Alligator mississippiensis: one gene and its partners. The protein of the gene in region 4 purifies or fractionates together with the protein of the main gene of each other region. This does not show direct contact. Links are inferred from orthologs where the notes say so. Each region holds a gene or a part of one and is shown on either strand. Other genes may lie near its edges.

Evidence for each region.
Region 1: the proteins of SMC1A (region 4) and PDS5B purify together in Homo sapiens (affinity purification with western blotting; 8 studies listed by BioGRID and IntAct, with this or other methods). This does not show direct contact. The link is inferred for Alligator mississippiensis from reciprocal best matches to the Homo sapiens genes SMC1A and PDS5B.
Region 2: the proteins of SMC1A (region 4) and WAPL purify together in Homo sapiens (affinity purification with mass spectrometry; 7 studies listed by BioGRID and IntAct, with this or other methods). This does not show direct contact. The link is inferred for Alligator mississippiensis from reciprocal best matches to the Homo sapiens genes SMC1A and WAPL.
Region 3: the proteins of SMC1A (region 4) and NIPBL purify together in Homo sapiens (affinity purification with mass spectrometry; 3 studies listed by BioGRID and IntAct, with this or other methods). This does not show direct contact. The link is inferred for Alligator mississippiensis from reciprocal best matches to the Homo sapiens genes SMC1A and NIPBL.

The regions. Positions count from the first base shown.
Region 1 is NC_081824.1:424,476,244-424,484,018, forward strand, and holds the start of PDS5B (sister chromatid cohesion protein PDS5 homolog B), read right to left. Parts: upstream 3,010-7,775; 5' UTR 2,970-3,009; coding exon 2,947-2,969; intron 1-2,946. UniProt on the Homo sapiens protein: Regulator of sister chromatid cohesion in mitosis which may stabilize cohesin complex association with chromatin. May couple sister chromatid cohesion during mitosis to DNA replication.
Region 2 is NC_081829.1:42,183,427-42,191,109, reverse strand, and holds the start of WAPL (wings apart-like protein homolog), read right to left. Parts: upstream 3,007-7,683; 5' UTR 2,699-3,006; intron 1-2,698. UniProt on the Homo sapiens protein: Regulator of sister chromatid cohesion in mitosis which negatively regulates cohesin association with chromatin. Involved in both sister chromatid cohesion during interphase and sister-chromatid resolution during early stages of mitosis.
Region 3 is NC_081826.1:278,648,617-278,655,862, forward strand, and holds the start of NIPBL (nipped-B-like protein), read right to left. Parts: upstream 3,001-7,246; 5' UTR 2,912-3,000; intron 1-2,911. UniProt on the Homo sapiens protein: Plays an important role in the loading of the cohesin complex on to DNA. Forms a heterodimeric complex (also known as cohesin loading complex) with MAU2/SCC4 which mediates the loading of the cohesin complex onto chromatin.
Region 4 is NC_081831.1:28,313,703-28,320,886, reverse strand, and holds the start of SMC1A (structural maintenance of chromosomes protein 1A), read left to right. Parts: upstream 1-4,171; 5' UTR 4,172-4,311; coding exon 4,312-4,420; intron 4,421-5,706; coding exon 5,707-5,895; intron 5,896-6,424; coding exon 6,425-6,537; intron 6,538-7,052; coding exon 7,053-7,184. UniProt on the Homo sapiens protein: Involved in chromosome cohesion during cell cycle and in DNA repair. Central component of cohesin complex. The cohesin complex is required for the cohesion of sister chromatids after DNA replication.

The DNA of each region.
Region 1 (7,775 bases), on a different chromosome or scaffold from region 4:
TTGTAACAAGGTATACAGTGAAAATAAATGAAAGAAACAGGTTTTCTCACTCACCAACTGCCTTCTTGCAGTCAATATAATTAGTCTGGCTTCCCTGTACCCATTAGTTGTCAAACTTTCCAAAACAAAACACTATCTTACATTTAAGACAAAAGTTGCAGACATGTTATATTTGTATTATTGTAGCACCTAGGAAGCCCTAACAATGGATCAGTTAGGGTGCATTCTATCACTGGGACTTAGGCACCAAATACTTCTGAAGATCTGGATTTCAGTTTCTGTCTTAACTCTAAATCTGTAAAATTGGTAATAATAGTATTTATGTACTTTGCAGGAAGGTAGTTAGGATAAATCCATTAAAGATTATAAGGGTGTACTTGGTAGTCGTGTTGGTCTGAGACCAGAAGACATACAAAAAACTAGAACTCTTGGTTTCAAAATGATGCATTTTATTATGGACCCAGAGGGACAGCCTTCCATCTTCAGCTCCCTCTGTGAAAAAAAATGAAGCTTACTTCCTACCTATGGGGACTTTTTACCATCTTGTACCATCTATACTTTTCTCAGAGCCGGACAACGGGACTTTGATCCCGAAAGCTTGCAGAAAAGGATAATCTTCTTGCGATTTCCCACTTGGTCTACCGTTTTGGAACTAAGAGTTCTAGTTTTTTGTAGGTCTTAAAGATTGTAAAGAATTCAGAGTACAGTAATAAGCACAATATAACTACCTCAGATGGAAATGCACATAATCCAGTTAATCTTCTTTTAACTATTTTGGCTCTTCTTCAGTAATGGGAACTGGCATTCAAGAAAAAACCTGAAAATACATTAAACTTTGCATGTCTTTCCCCAGTCCCCTTTCTCACTGCATAACCCTAAACACAGAAGACCACGATGTGTACATATCAGTTTCCTTATAACCATTCTTGCCTTCAGTACTCTGCCCAGTTCCCATCATTTTTATTCTCTGATCTATTTCCTTATTGTTGCTTATCAATTTTTTACTACACCCATGGTGACAGCCTCAACATTTAATTTCTTTCCCTCTCCCATTCTCACAGTTATGCTTTCCTCTAAGCTGCTCCTTACATAGAATAACATCTCAACTTCAGTGCATCAGACCCACATTCTTTTAATTCAAATCACCCCAGAAGACACTGGTTGTGGACAAGTATGCAACATACCACTTTTAAAGTGGGTCATGGAGAACTTATTTCAGACAGACTAAACCAATGTAAGTTTAAACCTGAATGAAATGGGCTTAAAGTTCCAGTAGTTTATAGCTCCACTTATAACAGTATAAATGCTGACAGTCTAAAGCAGTGGTTCTCAATCTTTTTAGAGTTAAGGTACCCCTCAGAAAATGCCACCACTTAGCTTTCACTTGTTTTCTGACTATGAAAAAATAAGAGCAATTCTTCTGTTGCAGAGCGCTCAGAAAGACTACAACAGATCAGAAGGCTTTGACACTATTGATTCCCACTTGAAATCTCTGGGTTTATCTTGTGAATCGTGTAGGTGTTTACACACCTAATATTGCATGATATCCTTAAAAGGATCTCACAGGGCCCCAGGGAACAATGGTACCCTGAACTATTATTACTGAACTAAAGAGTAACATCATTCAACATAACCCATGGGATTCTGATAGAATTTTAAAACACTGTAAATGTTTCATCTGTCTACACCAGCTATGTTATGCATTACTCTGTTTTAAAGTAGAAAGCAGCAGTCATGAAACAGACTTGCTTTGTTCCATTACAGACTTTTTGCTTTCCAAAAAACAACAAATCACCAGGACTGGATACTATACATGAGTCTTGTGTGGTCTCAGTATCTATTAAATACTTCTTTTATTACTACTATCTTAGAATAAACTTCACTTATTTTGTGCCTTTTGCACCCTGTCCTTGATTTATATCTGCTGGGTTTGTAGGGTATTAAACTCCCAGCAAGAAGAAACAGGCTATGAAACACTCCATCTAGATCTAGTTCTTTCATTAGAAGAAAGGAAAGGACCAGCGTGAGAGTTATAGAATATGAATAAGACAGAAGTCTAACCAGCCATTTGATTTGGTTGTGCTAAAAAGCCACTTTTGTTCAAATATTTATATTTAGGGACCTATTAATTCGCAGTTTTGCAGAACCCATGAAGTCCAGGATTGTCCACAAAATCTGTGAAATCAACAACAACAAAAACCCTTCAAAATAAAATGCTAGCTCCACAGTGAGAGCCAGTGGTCCTTGCTGCTGGGAGGGGAAGGTGCCAGCTGGCAGCATGAAGGACAGCAGATAAAATGGCAGCTGCCCCCTTCCCCCTCCTCCCTCTGCTGGAGCCTCTCTACCGACCATCACCAAGGGCAGGGCTTCTCTGCCACTCAGCATCGAGGGGCATGGACACCATGAAATGCCCTCGAAATTGGCTCTGCCATGAAGTCCTTACTTATATTCTAAACTATCTTAAAAATAAGTTAACAGACTCTACCAAGAATATTCAGTAAATCTGGAAAAGAGACCTTTGGAGACGGTCATGTGAATGAAGGTTAACAGATGCAAGTTTTGTTTTTACCTCTCTCACCTTTATTAATTTGATTTTTCCATTCCAATTTTTATGTGGCAGACGATTAATTTGTATACACCCCCATCAATTCTCTCCTTTGCCTGGTCCTTTTATAATCAACAATCCCACTGGCTTCACTGTACAATATCTGTGATAGTTCTGATTAACTGAAATGTGAATAATCTATAGGCTAAAGGCAAGATTCACAAAAGAACACAGGCATCTAAAATAGAACTTCAGTGGAATTTAAGCATCTAAGTTAAAAGAACTCACAAAAATCTACACCTCTGATGTGTCCAGCACACTGCAGATACCAACATTTTTAGCAGACATCCCCCATTGGCACTTAATGTTAAGCTTTAAATTAAAGCAGGGCTACTACTTACATGGTTATTTGTAGACTAAACATGGGCTGGAATTTCACAGAGGCTCACACTCCTGGCAAACCATTGCTTAATCCTGAAACATTCAAAGGACTGCCCTTCTAACTGGGAAGTGTGTTGTCTTAATCTGTTCCTCCCCCCAGCCTGTTCTTGATATACAAATAATTGGTCTGGCTTTCTTGTAGGTCATTGGTTGTCAAACCTTTCAAGGAATTTAATTCTGAAAACAAAGAGAGACAGAGAATATTGAATGTACTCATTGTTACTATTATGGTAATTATTCATATTATGATAGTGCATAACAGACCTAAGCCTAGACCAAGATTACTTATGTCAAGAAAAGACTAAGTATACCCTATATGTTTCATAGATTTTATAGACATTAGGGCTGGAAGGGACCTCGGAAGATCATCGAGTCCAGTCCCCTGCCCAAAGGGCAGGAAGTCAGCTGGGGTCATAGGTTCCCAGCAAGATAAGCATCCAGTTTGCTCTTGAAGGTGTTCAATGTAGGCACTTGAACCACCTCCAGTGGCAGGCTGTTCCAGACCTTGGGGGCTCGGACAGTAAAGAAATTCTTTCTTATGTCCAGCCTGAAACGGTCTCGTAGTAGTTTATGACTGTTCGACCTAGTCGTCATCCCTCAGGGCGCTCTGGTGAACAAACATTCCCCCAGATACTGGTGGTCACCCCTGATAAACTTATAGGTGGCCATCAGATCACCCCTGAGCCTGTGCTTTTCCAGGCTAAAGAGCCTCAGGGCTCTCAGCCTGTCATCATAGGGTCTGCTTCCCTGACCTCTGATCATGCGCGTGGCTCTTCTCTGGACTCTCTCAAGCCTCTCCACATCCTTTTTGAATTGTGGAGCCCAAAACTGGACGCAGTACTCCAGCTGTGGCCTCACCAAGGCCGAGTACAAGGGGAGAATGACGTCCGGGGACTTGCTTGAGAAGCATCTATGGATGCAAGCCAGCGTTTTGGTTGCTTTACTAGCCGCAGCATCGCATTGCAGGCTCATGTTCATCTTGTGGTCAATGATGACTTAGCAAGTCTTCAGGAGCCCTTTGGAGACCAAAGAGATTTTGAGAACCTCTTCAAAGTCTGAAAAGAAGCCAGAGCAGGTCCATCGCAGTCTGTATTCTAAAAGAGCACGTTTACCTACACTGAAATGGAAACTGACAACATTGAGAAATGACTGCCTACTCCAGTTGTCTCTCTCCACCTTTGGCTGAGATATCACTTCAGAGAACATCTATCATGAATCACAAAATATTCCTGTAGCTTCTGCAACTCCTCTATGGTAGGAGGAATATTTTTCTCTTTTTCTACTGTGTCATAGAAGTGAGAAGTCAGGCTAATGGCCTTTTCTGTGTTAAAACAATGCAATCACACATAATTAAAAGAAAAATAAAGATAAGTTGTGAACAATCAATATGTACGAGACAAAATAATTATGATATAAACTTTAATGGCCTTTATATATAAAAATGCAACCTGACCAATTAAAATGTACATTTTTGAGAACTGTAAAAGTTGCAGAAACTTGTTTGGCAAGAAAACTTTTTAGAAATGGCTAAACAAGCCAGTTCTTAATATAAACATTAACCTAGGTATGGGCTGGGTATATGGACTGTAAGGTGGATAGAAAACTGGCTGAATTGTTGGGCTCAAAGGGTTGATGTCTAGTTGGCAGCCAACGTCAAGTAGTGCACCCCAGGGGTCAGTCCTGGGGTTGGTTTTGTTCAATATTTTCATCAACTGGAAGATGGGATGGAGCGCACCCTCAGCAAGTTCGCAGATGACAAGCTGGGTGGAACAGTAGATACACTGGAAGGTAGAGCTAGGATTCAGAGAGAACTTGACAAATTGGAAAATTGGACCAAAGAAATTTCATGGGGTTCAATAAGGACAAGTGCAAAGTCCTGCACTTAGGCTGGAACAATTCCATGCACCAGTACAGGCTGGGGACCAACTAGGTAAGCAGCAGTTCTTCAGAAAAAGACCTTGGGTTACTGTGAACAAGAAGCTGATTATGAACCAACAGTGTGCCCTTGGCACAAAGAAGGTTAATGGCATACTGGGCTGCATTAGTAGAAACGTTGCCAGCAGATCAAGGAGAGTGATTTTTCCCCACTATTCAGTATTGGTAAGGCAACATCTGGAGTATCATGCCCAGTTTTGGGCCCCACACTACAGAAAGGATGTGAACAAATTGCAGAGTCCAGTGGAGGGCAACAAAAATGGTTAAAGTGCTGGAGAATATGACTTCTGGGGACAGGCTGTGGTAACTGGGCTCATTTAGTCTGGAGAAGAGAAGACTGAGTAGGGATTCGATAGTAGCCTTCAACTACCTGAAGTGGGGTTCCAAAGAGGATGGAGCTGGACTGTTCTCAGTGGTACAGATGACCAAAAAAAAGGAGCAATGGTCTCAAGCTGCATAAAGGGAAGTTTAATTTAGACATTAGGAAAAACTGTCTCACAAGGAGGTTAGTAAAGCACTGGAACAGGTTACCCAGAAAGGGAATGGAATCTCCATCCTTGGAGGTTTTTAAGACCTGGCTAAACAAAGCCTTGCCTGGGATGATCTAACTGCGGATGGTCCTGCTTTTCAGGAGGGAATTGGACTAGATGTCTTCCTGAGGTCTCTTCTAACCCTAATGTTCTATGATTAGTAATTAGTCTGTTATTTCTTAAGCAGTACCTTTGTACTGTCAGGCTCTGTCAATATAGTGGTGGTTTCTCCTCAGCTTGAGAAGACAAATACAAAAAGCAGTTCCTTGTTCATTTTAAGATATGGTTCATATTAGTTTCAGTTTCCTGAACACAGTGGGTGAAATTCTGACCCCAGCTGAAGCCATTCATAAATTTTCTACCGACTTCAGTGAACCCATACATCCACCTAAGGTATAGAGGGGCCCCTATCCATTTAATTCTCACACCTTTGGAACAAGGACTTGAAACTTGGCAAGAGTAAAAAATGTGTCTTTTCATGGAAATAACCCTAAATATGGTAAAGCTGTAAGTTTTTGCAGAACTGAAGATCATACATGCTCATTAGATTTGTTGGAGCTGGCAGCTTTATCCTCCAAAGAATCTACCTCCAGAGAGCATGCTCAGTCCCTGTACCTCTCTTACATGATACCTGGTCAGAGTCCATCCTAGACTTGCAGGTGCTTGAGAGATTTTCTCTTCCGTTGCTTCTCATAGCTCTGAAGGCTGCTGTCATGCCTTGTTCCAGATCTGAGATTAGGGAAACTGTTACTCCCATGCTTTCAGTGCTCCTCATGCTGGAGTCTTGATAGCAAGAAGCAGCAAGAAGGAGCCCAATTCCAATACAAAGGCACTAACTAGGGTTAATTGGAAGTGACAGCAACAAAGCATGGAGTATAGAAGTAGAAAAAACAGGATCAGGAAGCAGGATGGCAGTGAATGGAAGCAGAGGAAGAGAGGGAAAGAAGACTTGCAGTTGTAGTCTGTAGGAACAAACAATTATGAGAGCAGGAACTGTGAGGATTTTAGGACATGCACAAGCTGGGGGCAGGGGAGAGAGAGGCGGAAGGGTCTATAACTACCAAAGTGCACTTCTCTCCAAAACCTGAAATTGAGCCTACATAATGATTCAGAGTAAATAATAGCCTATTACTGCTACCTGTCATCATGTCTGCTCAGGCAGCTGAAGTCTGTGCTGTAGCTTTAAAAATCTAAGTACAAAAATAGCTAACGTAAGAAAATGTTATAAGAACTCAAAAAGTATGTAGTGCCAGACAAGTTTCTCCATGGAATTTTTATTTAGCCCTCATGCATATATGTTATGAAAATATATTTAGTAAACTGTATACATGGATGCATACCAGTTACTAATAAGGTAAAATCAAAATCTGGTTGTACTTGACCAAGAAATTGCAGAAAGTTCACTCCACTAGTCTCTCAGCTCACTATGATTCATACACTGAGGCTAAGATGACCACATATACATGGAGAAAATAAACAGTCGATTTCTCATTCTTGGTTCCAGAATGAAAACACTAATTAATTCTTTTTAACATTTCATTTTTAAATACTTTCCACAACACTTTCAGTTTAAGAACTGCTTGGCATATTAGTATAAGCTTGTTTTGTATAACATGCAGTAGATAGGACTATTAAAAAATTCCTGGCCTCTCGTGTACAAATATAACCATCCAGTTTTAGAGGAGGGGTGGGAAGCCACTAGTATGTCAAATGTGCTAAAATAATAATAACCAGTAAATAAGACTCTCTTACAATTCTATACCAATAGAGGCAGGTTAGATTAGAAACCGGGAAATCAGGATTTATCAATTAAATTCCCAGTTTTTAAGTTAGCTTCTTTTGTGACCCTGGATAAATTATGTAGCCACTTTGTGCATCAGTTCATTAGCTGGAGAACTGAGTTATTATTTGCTCATCTTTATAAAGTGGTTTAAGATGCATAGGGTTCCATTGCTGAAAGGTGCTTCACGCTAGAGGATAAGCTGGCAATTCAGGCTGACCTGAACAGGCTTGCAAGGTGGGTGGATCAAAACCTGATGGCATTCAACACTGAGAAATGAAAGGTACTCCACCTCGGAAGAGAAAACCCACATCATACTTATAGGCTCGGCAGTGCTACACTCACTAGCACCACAACCGAAAGAGACCTGGGGGTCATGACTGACCACAAGATGAACATGAGCCACCAATGTGATGCCACAGCTGGCAAAGCAAATAAAAGTCTGGCTTTATTTGGCGTTGGTGAGTACTGCATCTAATTGTGGGCTCCACACTTTAGAAAGGATGTGGAGAAGCTTGAGGGAGTCCAGAGGAAAGCCACACAC
Region 2 (7,683 bases), on a different chromosome or scaffold from region 4:
CTGCCTGGGCAGGAGGAAAACTAGGCTCAAGTGACCCCAGCCAGGTAGGCATCAAGCCGCTTCTTAAAGACCCCCAGGGTAGGAGCTAGCACCACTTCCTTTGGAAGTTGGTTCCAGATCCTAGCCACCCTAACTGTGAAGTAGTTCTTATGGATGTCTAATCTAAACCTACTCTCCAATAACTTGTGGCCGTTATTCCTTGTTATCCCAGGGGGCGCTAGGGGAAACAAGGTCTCCCCAAACCCTTCTGGTCCCCCCTAGTGAGTTATAGATGGTCACAAGGTCCCCCCTCAGCCTTCTCTTGTGAAGGCTGAACAGGTTCAGGTCCCGTAGCCTCTCATTGTAGGGTCTGCCCTGCTGTCCCCGGATCATGCGGGTGGCCCTCCTCTGGACCCTCTCAATGTTGTCCACATCCCTCTTGAAGTGGGGTGCCCAGAACTGGACACAGTACTCCAGCTGTGGCCTGATCAGTGTCACATAGAAGGGGAGGATCACCTCCTTGGCCCTACCTGAGATGCCCCTGTGAATGCACGATAGGGTCCGGTTAGTCCTGCTGACCGTGACCTCGCACTGTCGGCCCATGTTCATCTTGGAGTCAATGATGACTCCAAGATCCCTTTCTGCCTCTGTGCTCTCAAAAAGGGAGTTTCCCATCTTGTAAGTGTGCTGCCGGTTACTACTGTCCAAGTGCAGCACCCTGCACTTGTCCGTATTGAAACGCATCCTGTTTTTGTTAGTCCACCCTTGCAACCTATTCAGGACTTTCTGCAGTCTTTCCCTCCCGACTAGCGTGCCCACCTCACCCCAGATTTTGGTATCATCAGCAAATCTGAACAGGTTGCTTTTCACCCCGTTGTCCAAATCACTGATAAAGAAATTGAACAGTGTGGGCCCAAGGACCGAGCCCTGGGGACTCCGCTGCCCACTCCCCCCCAGGTTGAAAATGACCCATCTACCACCACCCTCTGAGTACGACCCTTCAGCCAATTAGCAATCCATCTGACTGTGTAGGCATCAATGCCACAGTTGCCTAGTTTTTTTAATGAGGATGGGGTGGGAGACAGTGTCAAAGGCCTTGCTGAAGTCCAGAAAGTATTAATAGATTAAATCAGCTATTGTTACAGTCACTTTCTGGTCAGGTCTATCTTTTGAGTCTGCACATACAATACTAAGAACAGCAAACACATACAGTAGGGAAGAAGTTGTTGTCTGCAAGGGGGGGGGGAGGGAGAGGGGAGAGCATGCGATAGGACTCCACACATACCACTTTGCATTGGGATTTTTTAAAGTTACGGGAATTTTTTTCATCGTTCCTAGGATTTGTAAGAACACATTTTAGAAAGCTAATTTTGGGTCTATAGCTGGCTTGATAAAGTGACCTTGTTTCTTATTTGCCAAGTATTTGAAAGGCTTTACCATACTTCACAACCTCCCACATACGTACAGATAACCATGGTATGACTGGCAGTAGCAGTCACAAACACTTCTGGCATCATATAAATGCAGAAGTCTTGCTTTCTTTTTCACTTTGGTCCACATTTCCAACTTGAAATTTCTGACTCGGTTTGCCCAAAAGACCAAACTGTTCTCCAACAAATTCATTTTGATGGTCAAAGCTACTAAGACTCACTCAATAATTAATCTCTCTTGACTTGGCCAAGTTGCATTCACTACACAAATGGATTTATCTTAATTGTCTTCTCTTCCAGATGTAAGAGAACAGATTCAGCCAGGGCTCAAGAGATTTACAAGCTGGTTGGTTTTCATTTTTGAAGATCCAGAAACCATTAACAGATTCAACTTTAAAACATTACAAATCCTGCCCCCATTCCTACTCCCTCTTTGCTTTTCACTCAGTCTGGGCAACTTTATTCAGTTTCATTTTCTTGTTTCCATTCCCTGCCCCCACTTACTTCTCTGACCCAACACAGCTAGTGCTGCAAACATGTGAATGCAAGCAAAACCTTTGCTATAGCTGGAAAAAACAGTCTCTAAAGCAGCTGCTTCTCCCTATGATCTGCAACACTGCGTTTGGGAGGTGGGGGAAGTACAGTCAGAGGCCGAAGTAGGCCCAGCTCACAGCTGCCAGGCAAAGAGGTGCCATTCATCCTCACTTCTTCCCTGAAACCTTCCCCCTTACACAGCATCAGAGGAGAGCAGGGCAGAGGCGGACAGACACTGAATGGGATGAGCTACTTTCTCCATGTGCAGATGGGGGAGGGGGGGAGGCTAGTTTAAATACAGGCCAATTCATGATGTCATTTCCCGTCGTCCCCACCCCCCCCAGCCGGCCCGGCGGACCCAGGTCCCGCCATCTACTTCTGACCCAATTCAGGCTCCCCACAAACAGAGAAGCGGCGGCAGCCTATAGAGGCGATGCTGCCCAGCCCGAATTAGAGGCCACCTGATACTCTGGACATGGCAGGCAGCCGGGCCTGGAAGCGCCTCCGCGGGGCGTCCAAGTCTCCCCCAATCCCCACACCCGCGGGGACTGCCGGGTCCGAGCTGGGCGAGGCCGCGGCCCTGCTGGAACTTTCCAGTTCCCTCCGCTCCGCCCGGGGGGAGAGGAGGGGGGAGGAGGAGACCCGAGCGGAGCTGGGACTGTAGTTTGGGGACGAGGCGCAGCCGGGCGGCAAGAGGCGCCGGGCCTTCCCCGCCTGGGCCTCGGTCCCGCGGCCCGGCCCGGCGTGGCGCTCACCTCCGTGTCACGCAGGATGGACGGCGGCCTGCGGCGGCCGGCAACAATGGGGCACGGCTCGGCGCGCGGTGCTCTCCGGCCTCAGCCCCGCGGACACGGCCGCCCGGGTCCGGCGCCGAGAGCCCGGCCGCGTAGGCAGGGGTGCTTGCCCCGGCGGTTCCTGCACGCCCCTGCGCCGCGGCGGCGGGATCCGGCCTGCGCGGGGCGGCGGCAGTGCGGGGCGCTGGCGCTAGGGCCCCCGGCGCCACCTCCTGCGGCGCCGCTTTCTCCGCGCCGGGATTATCGCCGCGCTTTGAACAGGGCCCTGGACCATCTCTCCGCCATTTGCCCCCCGCTCCTTCCGTCACTGCGCTTCCCACACTCGCCGCCGCCCGCAGCCAATCGCACCCCACCTTACTCAACCGACCCGCACGCCGCCGCGCATGCGCTTCCCCGCGTAGCTGTCACGTCAGCACGCGTGCGCGGCCGCGCGAGGAGCTGCCGGGACTTGTGGTTCCACAGGGCGGGGCCGCCCTCATTTGGAACTAGGAGGGCGGGGCCTGGGGAAAGCGCCTGCTTCCGGTGTCTGCCTCGCACGTGCTGCTGGTGGTACAGTCTGCGCCGTCCCCGCTTTTGCCTTTTTGGGGCTTGGCCCAAGCAGTCCCCAGGGGCATGGGCGCCCCGCGGAGCCGGGGATTTCCGTACACGCCTGCAACCGTGGAGGGGGACCCCGCGCGGGGCCGGGCTCCTTCGGGGCGGGCAGCGGCCGGGGCCCCGGGCGGCCTGGTAGGGGCTGCGACGCTCGTTCTTTTCCCTCTGGAAAGGCGACGTCTGTTTGCAGCCTTAGCACCGAGGAAAGCAAAAGCGAGCACCCGCGTTTCCACGGAGCTGGGAATTCAGAGCCAGACAAGCCTGGGACACTCACCTGCAGACTGTAAAAAATCATATTTAAAAAAAAGGAAATTACAGAAGCACAACTCAGTAGGAGGCTTCACAAGCACCTGCACCGGTTCTGAATAACTTTAAGAAAATGAGCAGGAGGGGAATGGAAGGTAACTGTATCCTTTAGTGCTTGGTTAAGTGACAACATGAAACAGTTAAAATGTGTGCAGACCCGCTTTGTTACTCAGTTTAAAAGAAACTTGATCTTAGAAATGATTGTCGTGCAATTAAAGCACCAAAACAACCTTAACTCCTCTGGAGTAAAATGCAAAAAGAGAGAGACAGTATTATCCAACCATATGATGCCAATCTAACTGCAAAAATTTCAGCCTTATGAGCAGCTATAGCCTGTCCTCAGCACACATTTTATAAAAAGTGGCAATGTGGAAGACAATGCCAAAGGCCTTCATTCCACATTTTTATCAAGACATGCCACTGTTTCCACTAGTACTAGTAAAGACCAAACAATAACTACATACTTCTGAGGGATAAGTAATGATGTTAAAACCCTCTAAAAAAAAGTAAAGGTTAGTGTAGTGACAAAACATACAGATTGTATCAAACAAACATACAGTAGTATCCAAATTTAAAAACAATCTGATTCTAGAAGGTGAAAGATTTTTTAAAGTCTTTATTTAGTTGCTCATATTTCTCATAAAGGATGGCGCTTTACTGATACAATGTTTTTACAAACTTAAGATATCCACAGTTCAAGCCTAGTCCTAAACTTCTCAACCCCCTGAGAAAAAGACTTGGAGGCAAAACTCTTCTACAGCAGAGAGACCTGATTTTGCAAATTCTGAGTAATTTGACTAGGGATTTTCAGGATAAATCTACATATAAATTAAAGAGGAAAGATGGAAGACTGCTATTACTAAACCAAGAGGGAAGGGAGTGATTTGGGAGATTAGCTAAGGATTGTGGTCAGGGATTTCTTTTTGCTCTTTTTCCTCTTTCATTCATCCAGGTTTATTTAAATCCATTTTAAAAGCTTATTTAAAAGAATTAAAAGGCTACATTTCTTTCTTCTTTGCAAACTCAACAAATGAAACAAATAGGCTTGAATTTCTGTGTTTACTTATAACCTTCAGTCACAGTCATGATATGTTAATAGTTTGTAGGGTTTGTGAGCCACACACACTCTTTAGAGCAGGGGTGGGCAAAATGCGGACCACCAAGCCATTCTATCCGGCTTGCAGGGCCCCTAAAAATTTAGAAAATTAATATTAAGCTGCCCTGGGCTGCCTGTCATGTGGCTCTCAATGGCTTGCCAAAACTCAGTAAGCAGCCCTCTGTCCAAAATAATTGCCCGTCCCTGCTTTAGGGAGATGACACAATTGGTCTTGGAGAAGAAAAAAGGTAATTAGGAATATATTGGGGTCATGTGATTAAGAGCACAAGTATAATTTGGGTAATAAAGGGAGACATTCATTTTGGATGACAATAAGTTTAAAAGGTTAAAGATAAAGATCTTTAACAGTTTGGTTGATAGCTTTTGAAGAACTGGTGGCAGTAAGTTACAATAAAAAAAGTAACATAAAAGTGAGTTCATTTTTTCTGGTTGGTTATCTTGTGTGGAAGCTAATAAGTGGTCTGTTTAAAATTCAGGATTCTAATTAACACTGACCCATGATAAATTTTTGTTAGTTCTGGAGAGGCAAGGGTTTTTTGGGGTGATATCTTGTATTGGACCAACTACATGGTTGGGATAAATTTAGACAAACTTTCAAATGCAAGGCATCAGATCCTGAAGAATCCCTTCATCATTGTTAAAAGCTTAGTATGTGGAAGACCAGAAGAACTGAAGATCCTCATCAGCTATAACTTGATTTAAAACAACCTCTTTCTAAGCTCTCATGTACCTGAGCCCCTGTGGACAAGTTCCATTTCTGGTCTTTGTGAGAGAGTCCCACGCATCTTGTATTCCAAAGCATTACATATTCACTGAAGGGTCCTGATGGGAGTTGTGGCAGACAGGGGATAAATTTAATCTAACTTATGCACTGATGGTCCTTTCTTCTTTTTTGGTAGGCATTCAGCAGATGGCTGTAGGCCTAGCTAATTAAAATAAAAAGCTTTACAATTTTATAATAATAACTTAAGGATAAAGGGAAAATGTTCAAAAGAACCAAAGTGACTCACTGCCTTCCAATGGGATTTAAACACACAAACTACTTCAAACACTTCTGAAATTTTTATACAGAGTAACTTTGAAAATGTGGCTCTCTACATTAAGCAGTATTGCTTCTAATATATCTGTATAGCCTAAATATGTGCAAGGACCAATAAAAGGCAAATAGAACCTAAAACCTGTAGACTTTATTTTTTGTCTGTAGAAAAAGTTCAATTAGGTTTGGATTACCAGGCATCTCTATTTTGTTGGGTGTGACCCCCATCTCCTACTAGGTGTCCTCTTCCTGAAAACCCCCCCATAAAAGGTAAATGTTTAATTACCAGATGTTTTTCATTTCTTCTAGCAAGTCAGGTAGCAGTTTAAATCACTCAGCCTCTCCTCAGAGCATTAAGGCTCAGTATCCTCTTAGTGGGCATATCTACAAGAGAAGCTACATACACAGTAGACTAATTCTAGTCATTAGCATGTCACAGCAAAAGTCATGCTAATGACCTAATGCACAGCAGAATTAGTCTTCTTAATAGCATCACAAAAAATTGTGCGCTGGTGCTACTTTGCAGTAGCACTGGTTCCTGTGCATTCAGTTAGTACCTGTTATTATCAGAGATCCAGGTTTTCTCTGATTAAAAAAAAAATCCCCAATTTTCAGATTTAAAAAAAGTAGCCCCAAATCCACATTTTTTTCCATGATTAAAATGAAACACCACTAATATATAGATAGCTATATAGTGGTGTTTCATTTTAATCACGGGGAAAAGTGGATTTGGGGTTACTTTATTTAATCTGAAAATTGGAGATTTTTTTATCAGAGACAACCAGGATTCCTGGTTTTTACAAATACTAAACTGAATGTGCAGTAACCCAAGGATGCTGAGAGAGTTGGTTCATGAGCTTGCACACTGGTTGTTATCTTTGCAAACTCGTGGTGATTGAGAGAGGTCTTAGACAATTGGAAAAGGGCAAATATAGTGCCCATATTTAAGAAAGGGAAAAAGGAGATTCTAGGGAACTACAGACTAGTCAGCCTCACCTCAGTCCCTGGAAAAATCATGGAGTAGATCCTCAGAGAAGCCATTTCTAAACACTTGGAGGAGAAGGTGATTAGGCACAGTCAGCATGGATTCACCAAGGGCAATCACCAACCAGATTGACTTGTTGTGGCAGAGCACCTTTGAGGATGCTCGCCACTTGAGAGCTCTCACAGGCTCTGAGGGGAGCCTGCTTTGGAGGAGCAGCAGGTGAAACCTCCCCCAGATACCATTTTAAGAGGGGAGGTGTGTGGCAGGGCATTGTAGATGCCTGCCACTTTAAGGGCCTGATCCAAGCTGCCAGCAGGTGCCTGATTGTGGCAGCCATTTTTAGATCCCTGGCTGCCTTTATAACCAGATCAGTTCCCTGCTGGCAGGGAGGTAGTAACATTGCCTGGCTGTGAGGCTTCATGTATCATCCTGGAGGTAAGGGAGGAGCTGTAGGGGAGGGCTAGCAGGCTCCTGGTTCTGGGCATGCCCTAAAACTGCACCCTGCCAGGAGTGGGTGGCTTGGTGGGGCTCTCAGTGGCATGGGATTACCCAGGAAATGCCAGGCCAGTTATCACCCTGGTGAGAGGCGGGTAGGGGTGCCTTAATTCTAGTGCTCACCTTTGTGTGGTTCTGGTAACACCAGGGGTAGTGAGGGCCGGGCATGGCTATGGCCACCTGAGCCCTGAGGGGTACAAGACCCCAAGAGACCCTAAGGAGGGAAACTGAGGGCCAGGCACAACTATGGCCACCTGAACCCTGAGGGCTTTGCTTGGTTGCCTTCCTTGCTGGGCTGTGCCCCAGCCTACTGCAGCCCCTGCTGCATGGCAAGCACCCCAAAGGTGCTCCACCACACTTGTATGATGAAATGATTGGCTCTGTGGATGTGGGGAGACTGATGGATGTGGTATACC
Region 3 (7,246 bases), on a different chromosome or scaffold from region 4:
CATTTCAGGCAGAGTAACCTTAGAAGCCTTACAAATAATACAAATTTAAACCAAAAAACACCAGAAAAACAAAACAACAAACCATTTGAGTGGGGGTTTGTGGGGCTTTTTTGCAATTTCTTAGTTGGTCTAATAAAAGGTATCATCTCTGAACAAAGAGTTCTGGAGTTTTGCATTTCTTTTTATTTAACGGGTATTCTGTTAAGTTATAACTTAAGTTCTGTTAAGTTATACTTTATTTAAATACCTGCATTTATCTTCTTTTTAAAGACATTTTCTTTTTGGTCATACATATATGTCACTTAGATATTTTCTTGGACATGTATGCAATCTCCTACCATCAAGCAGGTATGAAATTTAAATACTTCTGGTTTTCCCCTACTTTTTGTTTTGTTTCATACCAAACATGCAATAACAAGAAAAAGGAAAAAAAATCTTACTCTACACACTTTACTGAGAAGTGGGGTTTTTTTTATATTTTCAGACATTTAAAGGCATTTTTCTGAGCCTAAGAAACTTATCACTAAGTAGCCAATGATGAACCAGATAATTCATATTTAATCTACAACATTGCATGTCTTAAAGAAAAAATAAATCCAAAACACAAATACACAGCTAAAATTAAAGATGTCTATAAGTGTCTCTTATTTTACATACATAAGATAAAAATATCTAGAAATGCATGTTTTTTTATTTTTTTTAAAGGCTGCTGAACATATTATGAGAGAGACTTGACAGGAACTACATAACTACAACACCTCAATTCCAGCTCATCTTACATACTTAAAGCAAACATCCTTAAAATTTAAAGTGCACAAATCAAGATGATTTAACAGCAACTAAGTTTTTGCACATACTAGAGACCTGTTTTAAGCAAACAAGGAAAGAAACACTACAACTAATGTCGCTTCCTGATGATGAAAACTACCCAAGTGCTACTACTATTTCTACACAGTCCTTTCTTTCCTGTAAACTACTGCTACACTCGGCCTCCACACATGCTATGGCCCAAAAGAAAACAGCGATTCAGTTACACACACAGAGAAGGACAATTAGAGACACTCGTGGCTCCCTCTGCAATTCATAAAGTTTAAAAATAAAAGCTGCTTTTTCAGAGTGTAAATGGTTCCTCTCCACGCATGTAGGCCTGAGGCCCTGTTGCAAACAGTGTCTAACAGGACCAGGCAGCACAAAGACAGGAATGGGAGATTAGTGGGAGGGAGGGAGGCCGGGGCTGGGGCTCAGCAGGATCTTCAGGCTTTTTAAAATTCAAACTGCTCCCTGACCAATACAAATCACGGACACGCTACTGACTACTACACGGATTTACAGCATTAAAAACACGCCTTCTACGTGACAGCTATATTAACTTCACCCTTTTAAACATGTATTGGGACGCTTAGAGGCAAGATAGTACATCCTTTATAAGTAAGACCCTAAGCACAAAACACCAAAAAGTTACTTTTATAGACACATTAGCAACATACTGTTAACAGAGATCTCCCTGAACAACTAAAAAAAAAAAATCTCACTACAAAATAGTGGGGCAGGAGATTATGCTAGGTTGCTACACTTTAGCCACTTATAAATTTCCTTTCAATATTAAATATGAAACTTTGTATTACAACAGCAGGATTAGGCTAAATTCCCCTCTAGCTGTACAGCTGAACTGGAAATATGTATTTTTTAATCAGTTAACAGTGTTTTCTTTAAATTTATTAAGATTTTCAACACTATTCTTAACTCCAGCACACAGAAATCCAAGGTTTACTTTACTCTTAAGTTTGCTACCATTTATTTATTAAAAAGGGATACTTAATCACCAGCCATTTACAGACACATTTGACCTGTTAAGATGACACCTAATTACATATTCAAATATCAGGGACACAAACAGCCAATAACAACCCCAGGTCCTCAAAGTGGTCTGTCCTGACAAGAAAAGATTGCACTTTTTAACATTCTTTACTTTTCAGCAATTTTAATGCATCTTGATCCTTAAAATACTCTGGGCCCATCTTTACCTTGATCCCTGAAATGTCACAGTTTTACACTTTGTAAAGACCCCTTTCCCTTTTCTTCAGTTTATTAGAAAGCATACCCCTGGATTTCTTCTATATTAATATTTACGTAATGTACTGAGCATGTAAACGTGGAGATTATGTTAGTAACCAACCTCAAACATTTGTCTGTGTGTATTTCCTGGGGTCTGCAGGTGCTCGCCTTGTGTCAATCATTCCACAAGAGCTAGTTTTAGGCTATAAATAAACTTGGACATTGCCACGCTAATCAATTGGTAGGGAATTCAGAAATTTGTTCTTTAAAGAATACAAATCTAGTCGCATTAACTTCTTCAGGTTCACCCTGGAGTTTGTGCCAGGAGAAGATCCCGGGGACGATAATGGCTATATTTGTTTCTGGGTATTTACATTGTCTCTCTTCCCGGCTCCTCACACCGCTCTCCCACTTCGCGGAGGACTGTCTGCGCTGGGACCGTCCCCCGGCCCTAGAGAAGTTGTAAATATGGCAAAGGATCAGGGCACGTTTGCTGCTAATTGCATTGTTTCCTCCTCCTGCCGCTGCTGCTCCCCGGGTTGAGGCCTGTCACGGAGAAGCCGCTTCGCCTCTCTAATCCCCGAGCTGGAGTGAAGGCGCTGGCCGGCGGGCCTGCGCCCTCCACCGGGCCTGCGCCTCCCGGCAGCCCGGGACGAGCCGATCTCCGCCGCCCACCCCGGGGCAGCAGGAGCGGGGGGAGGCGAAATAAACCCCTCCGCTCGCCACTTACTCGCCGCTTCCCGGAGAAGAGCGAATCCCCCCGGCTCCCGGCAGCGCCGGGCCGCCAGGGCTGGGAGGCCCGGGCCGCTGCTGGAGAGCGCAGGGAGGGGAAGGGGAGACAAGGAGGGGGGATTACCTGAGCAAATCGGCGTCTGAATCCAACGAGAATCCGAGAGCGGGGGAGAGAAATCCGCCCCCCTCCCTCCTCAGAGGAGCCGCCGCCGCTGCTGGGCCGCCGCCGCCGCCGCGGAGCAGGAGGAGGAGGGGAGATAATATAACAACAATAATCCGGGCCGGGAGGGGGGCTGGCTCCTCTTCCGTCTCCTCCTCAGTGCAGCGAACATGTAGAGCCGGGGGGTGAGCGGCCGAGACAAATCCCTTCCCCCTGAGCCTGCTTCACAACATCAACACGGCTGGGCCGGGCCGGGCCGGGCCGGGCCGAACCGGTTCCGAGGCGCACACCGCGCCGGGCCGCTGCCGCCGCCGCCGCCTCTCCCTCCGCGCGGGTGAGTGTGGGGGCGGGGGAGGGGGCAGCCTGGGGCCGGGAGTCGGTACCAAGCGGGGGGAGCGGAGGAGGAGGGGGAAGGATCCTGTGTGTCTCTCTCCCTCTCAGAACAAAATGCCGACCGGAAGTGCAGCTGCAGGAATGACTCCCTCCACCGGCGCCAAACACCAACAGCCTCCCCCTTCCCTCTGCTGCCGCCGCCGCCGCTGCTGCCTCCTCCTCGCTCGCTCGCTCGCGCAGGCAGCCAGGGAGGGAGGGAAGGAGGGAGCCCCGCTTCCGCCGCGCCGCTCCCCGCCCTGCCCCGCGCAGCGGCCGCCCCTGCCCTGGCCGCGGCTCCTCGCTGCGGGCGGCGGCCCCGTCCCCACCCCTGCTTCTGCCTCCGAGTTTCTCTTTCTTTTCCCCTTCCGAGCTGCTGCCTGGGAGTGGAGTCTGCGCCCGGGCCTGCGCCAGGAGGAAGACAGCCGGCGGCTCGTGAAGAGGAACCATTTGAGGGAGGATTTTTTCTTGGAGGACGACTTTCAGGGACTTGGAGAGGAGCCTGAGCGTGAATCCCCGAGGAAGGTCGTCTTCCCCCGCGCAGTGAGTGGAGCTGCCAGACCCGGGACACTTGCTGGATCTTAAATTCTCCTGTTTTTTCTTACGTGTTTTAAGAGGCTTGATGTCACCAGATCTGAAACGCCCGATGGTGAAAGTGGTCCTGGGTCAAGCGATTACTTGCCGAATTTGAATGATTTTTAAAACCAGCTTTCTTGAGCGAATACGGGAGAATTAAAAAAAAAAAAAATGATGCTGAGGTGAAGGGTCCTTCCTTGGGAGCTGAAAGGCTTGCTGGTAGATTTCCTGGAAGCCAGCACTGGGGCTGTGAAGGAAAGGTTGCAGAATGGGACTGCCCTAATCTGGAAGCTGCTCTGTTTTTCTCTTCAGGTAAAATGGGTTGTGAATGATCCCAGCCTGGCATGGCAGCCAAGGCTCCTTCCTATACGCATTAACCTCCTCCTTTTCTGCCATTCTTATAGTTCCTACCCAGCCTTCCTCGGGGAAACTCCATATAATCAGACTGGCATCTAGGATGTGTAAAGACTGCAGGACTGAGCCATGAAGACACCGAGCAGTTGGGCATATGGTGTTGTGCTTCTGTCAGCTCTGGATGGACCTCATTTCCGTAAGGGAGTTCTTAGAGAGCCATGCATTGGTCCTGCATCCATGCACTTGAATCCTGCCTGGCTTCTGTGTCATTTGTGTGTTCTGTGGCTACCACAGATTCAAATGCATCTCTTTAAATTAATAAAATGATCCAGTTCATAATGCTGGAGAGGAAAATGATGACTCAAAATCCATTCTAAGACTTTGTGTGCTTCTGGGTGCAGACTGAGAGAGATGTGATTAGAGAATATTGTGGTTTAGTTCCAAATATGCTAATTTTATATGAATAAATCTTTATGTACATTTTATAGACACGGTCAATTTAAGCCACATTTCTCTTGAAAACTTGTTGACTGCTATTATTAATTAAAAATAACATGTAATCCTGAGTTCTGTAAATACCCATGTGTTTAACCTCACTGTTCACTAGAGCTACTCATGCTAGCAGAATTAAGCATTTATAGACAAAGGGCCTAATAATGCTTTAATTAAAAGGTAAGAGGAGTAAACTCTTGCCCGTGCCTTCATTTGGTTTAGTTTATGAATGTAGCAGTCCTTCATATAGTTGCTTGTACACAGTTAATTCTGGGAATCCTTGTCTGTAGGCAAAATATGGAACTTGTTGATCCTTAGGCCCCAGGACTTCATATTGTTGCGCACACACATTCTTAGTGTAAGTCAGCTGAGATGTTGTTTTTGTAATTTTAAGCATGGAGAATCAGGGTGCATCAGCTTCCCCTCTTATTTATGCAGAATTTTTTGCGCAGGCAGAAAGAAAAGCAGGAATAAGGAAATCTGATTATAAAACCATAAATTTAGCACAAGGACGCAAGGCCAAGTGTAATACTTACCTCATTCTACTTTCTAACTTTGTATTACTGCAAGATTCAAGTTGATGGACTCTCTAAATGGTTTTACTAATTACCTTCATGATTAAATATTTAAAAAGAAAGTTATAGAATGGAATAAAGTGATTTGCACTAAATGCAACTTTCTTTTTCAGTATCATGTCTTTCCAACATAAAGTGTGGCTATCTAGTGTAAATGGCATGGTAATAAAATGCACCCCTGTGCCTCTGTTAGATTTCTATCATAAGCTTAACTAAGATTGAGACTGGCCCTTTTTTCATACTTCATCAGCCATGTTTAATCAATTAGTATTACTATTTAATCAGAGTATTACTTAGGAAAGCAGTCATTTTTATTTTATTATTATCTGTATCAGACAAGTTATAAATAATTTCATAGACATTTGGGCTGGAAGGGACCCCGGAGGATCATCGATTCCAGCCCCCTACATTTGAGGCAGTGGTTGCTTTGAAAGTTATGATATACAAAATTAAGCTCTTTAAATGAAAAATAACTTTTATAATTATCTACAGCAATTATTACTCTGTATTAACTTGTACAAAGTAAGATCCCTCACAATCCTGTAATCTGATACACACAAGCTAGATAACAATGACTCATTATCTCTATTTTGGGGCTCCATGTAGGCACAAGAATGAGGGTTCATGTACATATATACAAAACAATTCAATATGCAAAAATTCATCACACCTTACATGCATGATGTCCAAAAAGGAGAAAGATTATGGTATCATAGAAGTTCTAAAAACAAAATATTAGAAAATATGATAAACTAAAGGCTAGTTTACAGGTCTGAACCTTGTTCTTCCTGTAGGCCCCTGGCCTGCAAGTGAATCACAAGTTTGGGGAAATAATTTTATGCACAGAGCTGATAAGTTCATAACCTCATTCTACTCTCTTTGAAGTCAAGTGAAGGCAGTTAAGAATGTATGTTTTCCTCTAACTGTATTATTATCTTTGCTGTAAATCTAAACTATATGGAACATCAGTTAACTCTCATAATATTTCTTGTATTTTTCAAAGTGGACTGATACTTCAATATTTTTACAAAATAGTCAGAAACAAGAGATTATACACACAAGAAATAACATAGAGAAAATATTTCTTTCAAGGATAAAAGAAGAAAGCTTGAGTCATAAATGTTTTACTACTGTTTTTTACTACCAGGTGAAATAAACTTGCAAGAAGGATGTATAAAATTGTATCTATAAATCTACTATTCAGAAGCAGAGAACACTTTTTGGCCTCTTGGATTTTAGGGTAAGTCCCCAGATATTTAGTTTATGAAGCTGAATAATTAGTTACGGGCAATGTGCAGTCTGGCATTTAAAAATATCCAATATCCATGTTTTCATAGACTCTGATGTACACACTTATATTATCTGATTGCTTGTTAGATTGTTAATATTTATATTTCTCAATCTTTTCTATTTGTGCCTGGATAGGTTTTAGTATAATCAAGTTCCTCTCGTTTTAAGCTTTGCTTGCTGTACAACTTCCTATATAACTAACAGTTAAATATATATTTTAACTGTTAGCTATTTCTTATTTCTTTGTGGCCAGAATTTTTTAAGGATTGTCTATCATATAACTGTATATATAAAAGAGTCTTAAAAAATGGCTATACTTTAAAAAATGGCATTTTAAAAATTTTGTATGTATTTTTGGGAGATAAGTGTATATTGATACACTGTAAAGTGAGTCGCATAGGATCCTAAATTTAATGCATCAAACTTACTTAGATTTTGGTGTTAAGTCTTGGTTTCGACCATGAATAAGAGAGGAAACGATGAATGCTGTCTGCAAAAAATATAAATATAATATCATGTTTTCTGCATTGACTTTTATCCACAGGAGCAAATAATTGCACCATATAATTGATTCATTGGGGAATATTCAGCATTAGAAGTAAATAACCTTAAGATCAAGTTAAGTCTAAAGTGAAGCAGATAA
Region 4 (7,184 bases):
AGAGAGGAGGAATCCAGGTATCCCATAATGCCTTGGGGGAGTGAGTTTAGGTGTCCTATAAATCCTTGTGGGGAGTTGTATCCCATAATGCTCTGGGTATGGTCCAGGTATCCCACAGTACACTAGCACAAAATATCTAGGTATCCCAATCTTGCCCTACCAAGATGCTAATATCCCATAATATTGTGTGGGTGTCATGTGCCATAATGGCATGGGGTGGGGCAGGAGTCACATAATGCCCTGGGAGATGGTGTGGGGTAGGTATCCCACACTTCCTTGGGGATGGGGGAAGGATAGGTGTTCCCATAAGGCCCTGGAGGGTACTAGTGTATCCCACCATGGCATAGTAGAGATTTAGGTATGCTATTATGACCTGGGGCAGGTATTTAGGTATTTTCAACCTTTTTTTAATAAGTGTACCCCCAGCGGCCAGATGCAGGGAGGTGGGGGGGGGGGCGCATGGCATACAGCTGGGTGCAGAGCAGCAACAATGCAGGGTGGTGGGTAGTAGTGGCCACTGCATGCAAGCTTCCCCCCCGCCCCGTATCCGGCCAGCTGGGGAGTGCCTGTACAGCCTGCAGAGGGGTGCCACTACCCTTGCCTCCACTCTCCGCCCCAGCTCTGCTTTTTGCAGGGTGGCGGTGCTTCGTCCTCTTGCCCTCATGTACCCCCTAGGGCCTTCCCAAGTACCCCTGGCAGTATGCGTACCCCCAGATGACAACCTTGTAGCCTTCTATGACCAGGTCACACTGCCTGGACGCGGGAGCTGAGGCTGATGTCATCTTCCTGGACTTTAGGAAGGCCTTCGACACAGTTTCGCACCCTATCCTCATTGGGAAGCTAGCAGACTGTGGAGTGGATGCCTACATGGTCAGGTGGGTGGCCAACTGGCTTAGGGACCGCACCCAGAGAGTGGTGGTGGATGATTCCTTCTTGGCCTGGAGGGAGGAGGGCAGTGGGGTCCCGCAGGGTTTGGTCCTCGGACCGATATTACTCAATATCTTCATCAGCAATTTGGACGAGGGCGTGGAGAGCACCCTCTCCAAGTTTGCTGATGATACCAAGTTATGGGGCAAAGTTAGTACACTGGAGGGCAGGGAGCAGATTCAGGCTGACCTGGACAGGTTGGATCAATGGGCAGAGAGAAATAGGATGCAGTTTAATAAAGATAAATGTAAGGTACTCCACCTGGGAAGGAGGAACCCCCAGCACACCTATAGGTTGGGGAGTGTCCTTCTCAGCAGCTCGGAGGCAGAGAGGGATCTTGGAGTCATAATTGACTCCAAGATGAACATGAGCCAGCAGTGTAACAAGGCCAATCGCACTTTGTTGTGCATTAGCAGGTGCATGACTAATAGAACAAAGGCGGTGATGCTCCCCCTCTATGTGGCACTGGTCAGGCCGCAGTTGGAGTACTGTGTCCAGTTTTGAGCCCTGCACTTCAAGAGGGATGTGGGGAATCTCGAGGGGGTCCAGAGGAGGGCCACTCGCATGATTAGTGGCCTTTGTGATTAGACCCTACAGGGGGAGGTTGAGAGAGCTGAATCTCTTCAGCCTTCACAAGAGACAGCTGAGGGGAGATCTTGTGGACACCTATAAATTTATTAGGGGAGGTCAACAGGGAATAGGAGAAGTGCTGTTTACTAAGGCGCCCCAGGGAGTGACTAGGAATAATGGGTGTAAAGTAGTTGAGAGTGGATTTAGGTTAGATATTAGGAAGAAATGTTTCACAGTAAGGGTGGCCAGGATCTGGAATGGGCTTCCAAGAGAGGTGGTGCTATCACCTAGCTTGGAGGTCCTCAAGAGGAGGCTAGATAGTCACCTGGCTGGGGTCATCTGACCTTGGTCCTCTTTCCTGCCAGGGGCAGGGGGTCAGACACGATGATCCATTGTGGTCCCTTCCGACTCCTACAATCTATGAATCTATGAAACCCTTGCCATGGGGGGTGGGGGGAGGAACAGGTCCCATAGTGCCCTGGCATTTGTACCTGTGCCTGGTTGTAGGTGGCAGTGGCCTGGGCCCAGGCGCACTGACACACATTTTCCAGCTCCTCCAGTTCCAGTGCTTGCAGCCCTAGCACCACCTGTTGCTGCTGCTCCAGTGCCTCTGGGGGTGGGGTTGGGGGGGGGCATTACTGGGAGAGAACCCAGGTATTCAGGCTCCCAGCCCTTCTTGCTTTTACCCCCCTAAGCCCCATTCCCCTCTCAGAGAACTGAGGAGTCTGGGCTCAAAGCCCCCACTTCCCTCCCAGAGAACCCAGGTGCCCAGGCTCCGAGCCCCAATGGAACCTTGGCACGTAGACTCCAAGCTTACCCCCCATTCCAATCCCCCACCACTACAGAACCCAGAGGTCCAGGCTCCCACTGCTCAAGCCCACCAACAGCACTCTCCCTTCCCAGAGAACCTAGGCATCTAGTTCCTACCAATCACCGATGGAGTCCCTCTCGGCCTGGGCCTGGTTCTGGGCCTCACACTGCTGGTCCAGCACCTGGTGCTGCTCATTCTGTTGCTCCTGGCGCCGCACTACCACCTCTGGGTCCTCACCCTTGAAGCACTGAAGCCTGGCAGGGCCAGGGGGGCCCTGATCCTCCAGCTCTGCGGCCTGATCCTGGGCCTGCTGCTGGGCCCAGGTGGCCTCCAGGGCCCGTCAAAGCCCCCATGCCTGTTCTTGCTTCTTGGCCTCCAGTATCTGGGCCACCTGGGCACCCTGCAGGTGCACTACATCTGGGGGAGAAGGGGTCAGAAATCTCTGCTCCAAGGGAACCTTGGAATCCGGGTGTCCCTGGGGCCTGAATTTTTTTTTCCAGGCTCACCAAATGCCTCCTCCCGGCATTTCTCAGTCTCCTCTCGCAGCTTCCGCTCAGCCACTTGGCATTGAAGGGCTTCCATGTCTACCTAGATGAGGGAGAGAGGCAACGGCAAGATGGGTCCTGGATGCCTGAGCTCCCTTGGCTCTGATCCACCAGACCGTATCCCTCCACCAGACAACCCAGGTGACTGGGCTTTCAGGCCCTCCTGCCGCCCCGCTCTCACCTTCGCAGCCCCCACACTCGCCTCCTGGAGTCCCCTGGTGTCTGGGATCTCAAGCCCCACTTCTCTCACCCCCTCAGCCCCCACTCCCCTCCCAGGGCACCCAGGTGTCTGGGCTCCAAGCTCTTTTGCTCTACCCCAACAGACTCCATTCCCCTCTCAGGGAACTTAAGTATCTGAGCTCCCAGTCCCTCCCTGGTCCAACCCCCCCTAGCCTCTACTGTCCTCCTGGAACAGGGAGGGAACCCAGGGATCTTGACTTATTCCCATGCGGCAATAGCGAGGGTTGAAGATCTGTGTCTGACGCTGACGCTCCTTCTCCCTCTGGGCCTCCAGCACTGCCCCCACCTTGTGGGGCAGGTCTGCCTTGTACATCCTGGGGGAGGGGGTGGAAGTGTCAGTACCAATGGGAGAGAACCCAGCACCTCCTGCTCATCCACCAGCCCCATTCCCCTCCCAGAGAACACAGGTGTCCAGGCTCCTACACATTGGCCTCCCTCTACCCTCTCAGAGCCAGGAAAGAACCCAGGCACCTGGGTTCATGACCTAACTGTCCTTCCCTGATCTTTTGACCCCTTCCACTCACCCTTACTTGCCCCCAAACAAAATTCCCTTTGCTTCCTGACCTTTGACTTTTGACCCCAGCCTGTCCCCAGTCTCCTCTGCCCTTTGACTCCCAATTTACGTTGGTCCCTCTTGACTTCTGACCCCTGTCTTCACCCGTATTTTTGACCCCTGTGCTCTCTGACTGAACCCTCCTTGCCCTGCTCCGCTTTGTCTCCGAGGCCTTCTGTTTAAGATCCTCGTCTCCATGGTAACAGGCCAACCCATTTCACCTCAATCTCCCCTTCCCATTGGTACAGCCCAACCGCAGTTTTATGCAAATAGCGGGTTCCCCGCGGGCCAATTAGGAACGAGAGTTTGGGAAGAGTTTATTTGCTTGTTATGCAAATAAACATCCCTATTAAGTAGAAGGGCGGGAGCCCGAATGCAAATAAGGCCCGGCGCCTCGCGGGCTAATAAGGAGGAAGAAGCGGCCAGCTATGCAAAACGACCCCGGGAGCGCCGACCAATCTGAGGAAGCCTTGGAAAGAAGCCCTGCCCTTTTATCTTGGACTAGTTCCTCGCGAAGGCCGGTGCTCTCGCGAGATTTCCTTATCTTGGCGGCAGCGGCGGGCCAGAAAACAGTGAGGGGGTAGGGCTGTGAGTCGGTGCTCCGGCGGGTCTCAGTAGGGCCGGACGGGACGGGACGGGACGATCCGGTCCGGTGTCTCGCCACCATGGGATTCCTCAAGCTGATCGAGATCGAGAACTTTAAGTCCTACAAAGGGCGGCAAATCATCGGGCCTTTCCGCCGCTTCACAGCCATCATCGGGCCCAACGGCTCCGGTACGCGGGGCCTGCTGGAGGACCTCCCCTACTCTAGTGGGCAGCTGGGTGTTACGGCCCAAGGGGGACGTTTAGCTTAGCGGCGGGCGGCTGGAATGTACCACTGAGACCCCTGTAGGGTGAGGGGCTGAGGGGGGTGGTATAGTCCGGAGGGAAACTTTCGTTTGGTGGCAGACGGGTGGGATGTTCCATTGAGACGCGGTGGAAGGGTCCACGGATGAGTGGGTAGGCGGGGGGATAGGTCACCCTTGGCTTGGCGGTGGGCAGTTGGAATGTTCCACTGAGACCCCTGTGACGCACGCTGGAAGGGCCCTTGAAACTCTCCTCTATGCTGGTGGAAGGGTACAAAAGCATTTCTTCTCCCCCCCCCCATATTGCGGCACTAGGTGCCATAGGGGACTTTCCCCACATAGGAATGCTATTGCCCACAGAACTCCCCCCACCCATGACATGGATGGTACAGTCCATTGGCACCCCTCTCCCCCCATCCCACATTAAAATTGAACAGACTGTGGCTCCTGGGGAAGGGTATGGCTCAGGAACCCCCTGTGATGCATCTCCCATCCCACAATGCATTGTGCCTGCCACCACCCCCTGCAACAGGGGTCTTTCCCCCACAGGGATCCTCCGACAATGCATTGTTTATGCCAATCTTCCTGCTATCCCATGAGGCCTTGCCCTGTTGACATACCTTCCCACAATGTATTGCTCATGCCAACCCCTTCTTGCTGTCCTGTAAGACTTTGTCTCTCTGATCCCTTTTGCTGTCTCACAATGCATTGCTTATGCCAACTCCACCACTGTCCCATAAGGCCTTGCCACTTGATTTGCGTTATTTCCACAGTGCATTGTGTGTACTGATCCTTCCACTATCCCACAATGCATTGCTCATGCAATTCTTTCCCACTATCCTATAATGCATTGCTCATGCCAACCCCTGAACTCTCATGAGCCCTTCCTTGCACCAATCTCCTATCCCAAAATGCCTTCTCCACACTGAAATCGTATCACTCAACATACTTCATGTGCCAAACACTACTTCACTATTCTATAATGCCTTGCTCTGACTGCCCCATCCCTGCTATCCCATAGTGTATTGCTTATGCTACCCTTCCTAGTATCTCATGATGTCTTGCCTGCATCAGTCCCCTGCTATCCCACAATGCCTTGCCCACACTGAGGCTGCACCCCACAGTACACTGCACCTACCAATCCTCCTACTATCCCACAATACCTTGCCTGCGCTGACCTCCCTTCTGTCGCACAATACCTTGCTGGTTCTGCAGGGAAGTCAAACTTGATGGATGCCATCAGCTTCGTGCTGGGTGAGAAGACAAGCAACCTGCGGGTGAAGACTCTGCGGGACCTAATCCATGGGGCACCAGTAGGGAAGCCGGCTGCCAGCCGCGCCTATGTCAGCATGGTGTACGCGGAGGATGGCGCTGAGGATCGCACCTTTGCACGTGTCATCGTTGGTCAGCTTAGGGGTGGAGCTTGGGGATGGCACAGTGGGGAAGGGGTAGGGCTTGAGAGCAGGGGGAGGAGCATAGTGGGGAAGGGGTGGGGCTTGGACATAGTGCAGGGCTTGGGAGAAAGGGGAGGGGTTGAGGGTGGAGCTTGATAGGGTAGGGCAGAGTGCGCTTCTGGGCTGGAGCAGAGGAGGGTGGAGAATGGGTGTGGCTTGGTTAGGGGGCAGGGCTTGGAAAGGGCAGGGCTTGTGGGTAGGGGTGCAATGTGGGATAGTGGGAGGGTGTAGTTTGGGGCTGGATATGGGGCTTGAGGAAGGGATGGTGCTTGTCAAACTGAGGGAAAGGGTTGGGCTTTAGAGAAGGAGGAAGCTTGTGGGCAGGGGAGGGGCCAAGTGGCAAGGCTTGGGCAATGGTCAGACCAGGGGAAGGAGCTTGGGGGAGGGGAAGGGTTGGAGGGTTGACACTGAGGTTGGGAGGATGCAGACTCCATTCCCTCCCCGTGCTGGCCTTGACCCCCACCTCTCCAACTCATTAGGCAGCTCCTCAGAGTACAAGATCAACAACCGGGTGGTGCAGTTGAGTGAATATAGTGAGGAGCTAGAGAAGCTGGGCATCCTCATCAAGGCGCGCAACTTCCTTGTCTTTCAGGTGGGGGTGCTGCCTACCTGGGATGGGGCAGAGGAGGAGGAGGGTTATGGGGCTCCATTGTGCAAGGGGTGGAGCTGGGAGGGAGGGGGAGGGGTATGGGACTTGTGGTGTGAGGAGTCTTGGGTGTATGGGGGAAAGGGGGGCCCAATCCTGGCTGGGGCTTGGGGGGCATCTTGGGCCTGATCATGGGGGTTGGGAGGTGTATTCTGGCCCCAATCCTGCTGGAGGGTAGGGTCTTTCAGGGCTAAATCCTAGGATCTGTGGAGGGGGGAGGTTCTGGCCTTAATCCTGGGTTTTTTGGGGTGGTTCTGGGCCCTATCCTTACTGGAGGGGCAAACTGGTGGTATGCTGGTGCTGATCTTGTCTGGGAGGGTCCTCGGTGTGATACTTCAGTTTGAGGAGGTCCTGTCCGTGATCTTGGGGATTGGGAAGAGGATCCTGGGCCTGGGAAGAGGTGGGATCCTGGGGCCTGGTAATGATGCCCTGACCTTGTCTTCCATTGGCCCGGGTGGCAGGGGGCAGTGGAGTCGATTGCCATGAAGAACCCCAAGGAGCGCACAGCACTCTTTGAGGAGATCAGCCGGGCTGGGGAGCTGGCTCCTGAGTATGACAAGCGCAAGAAGGAGATGGTGAAGGCTGAAGAGGAC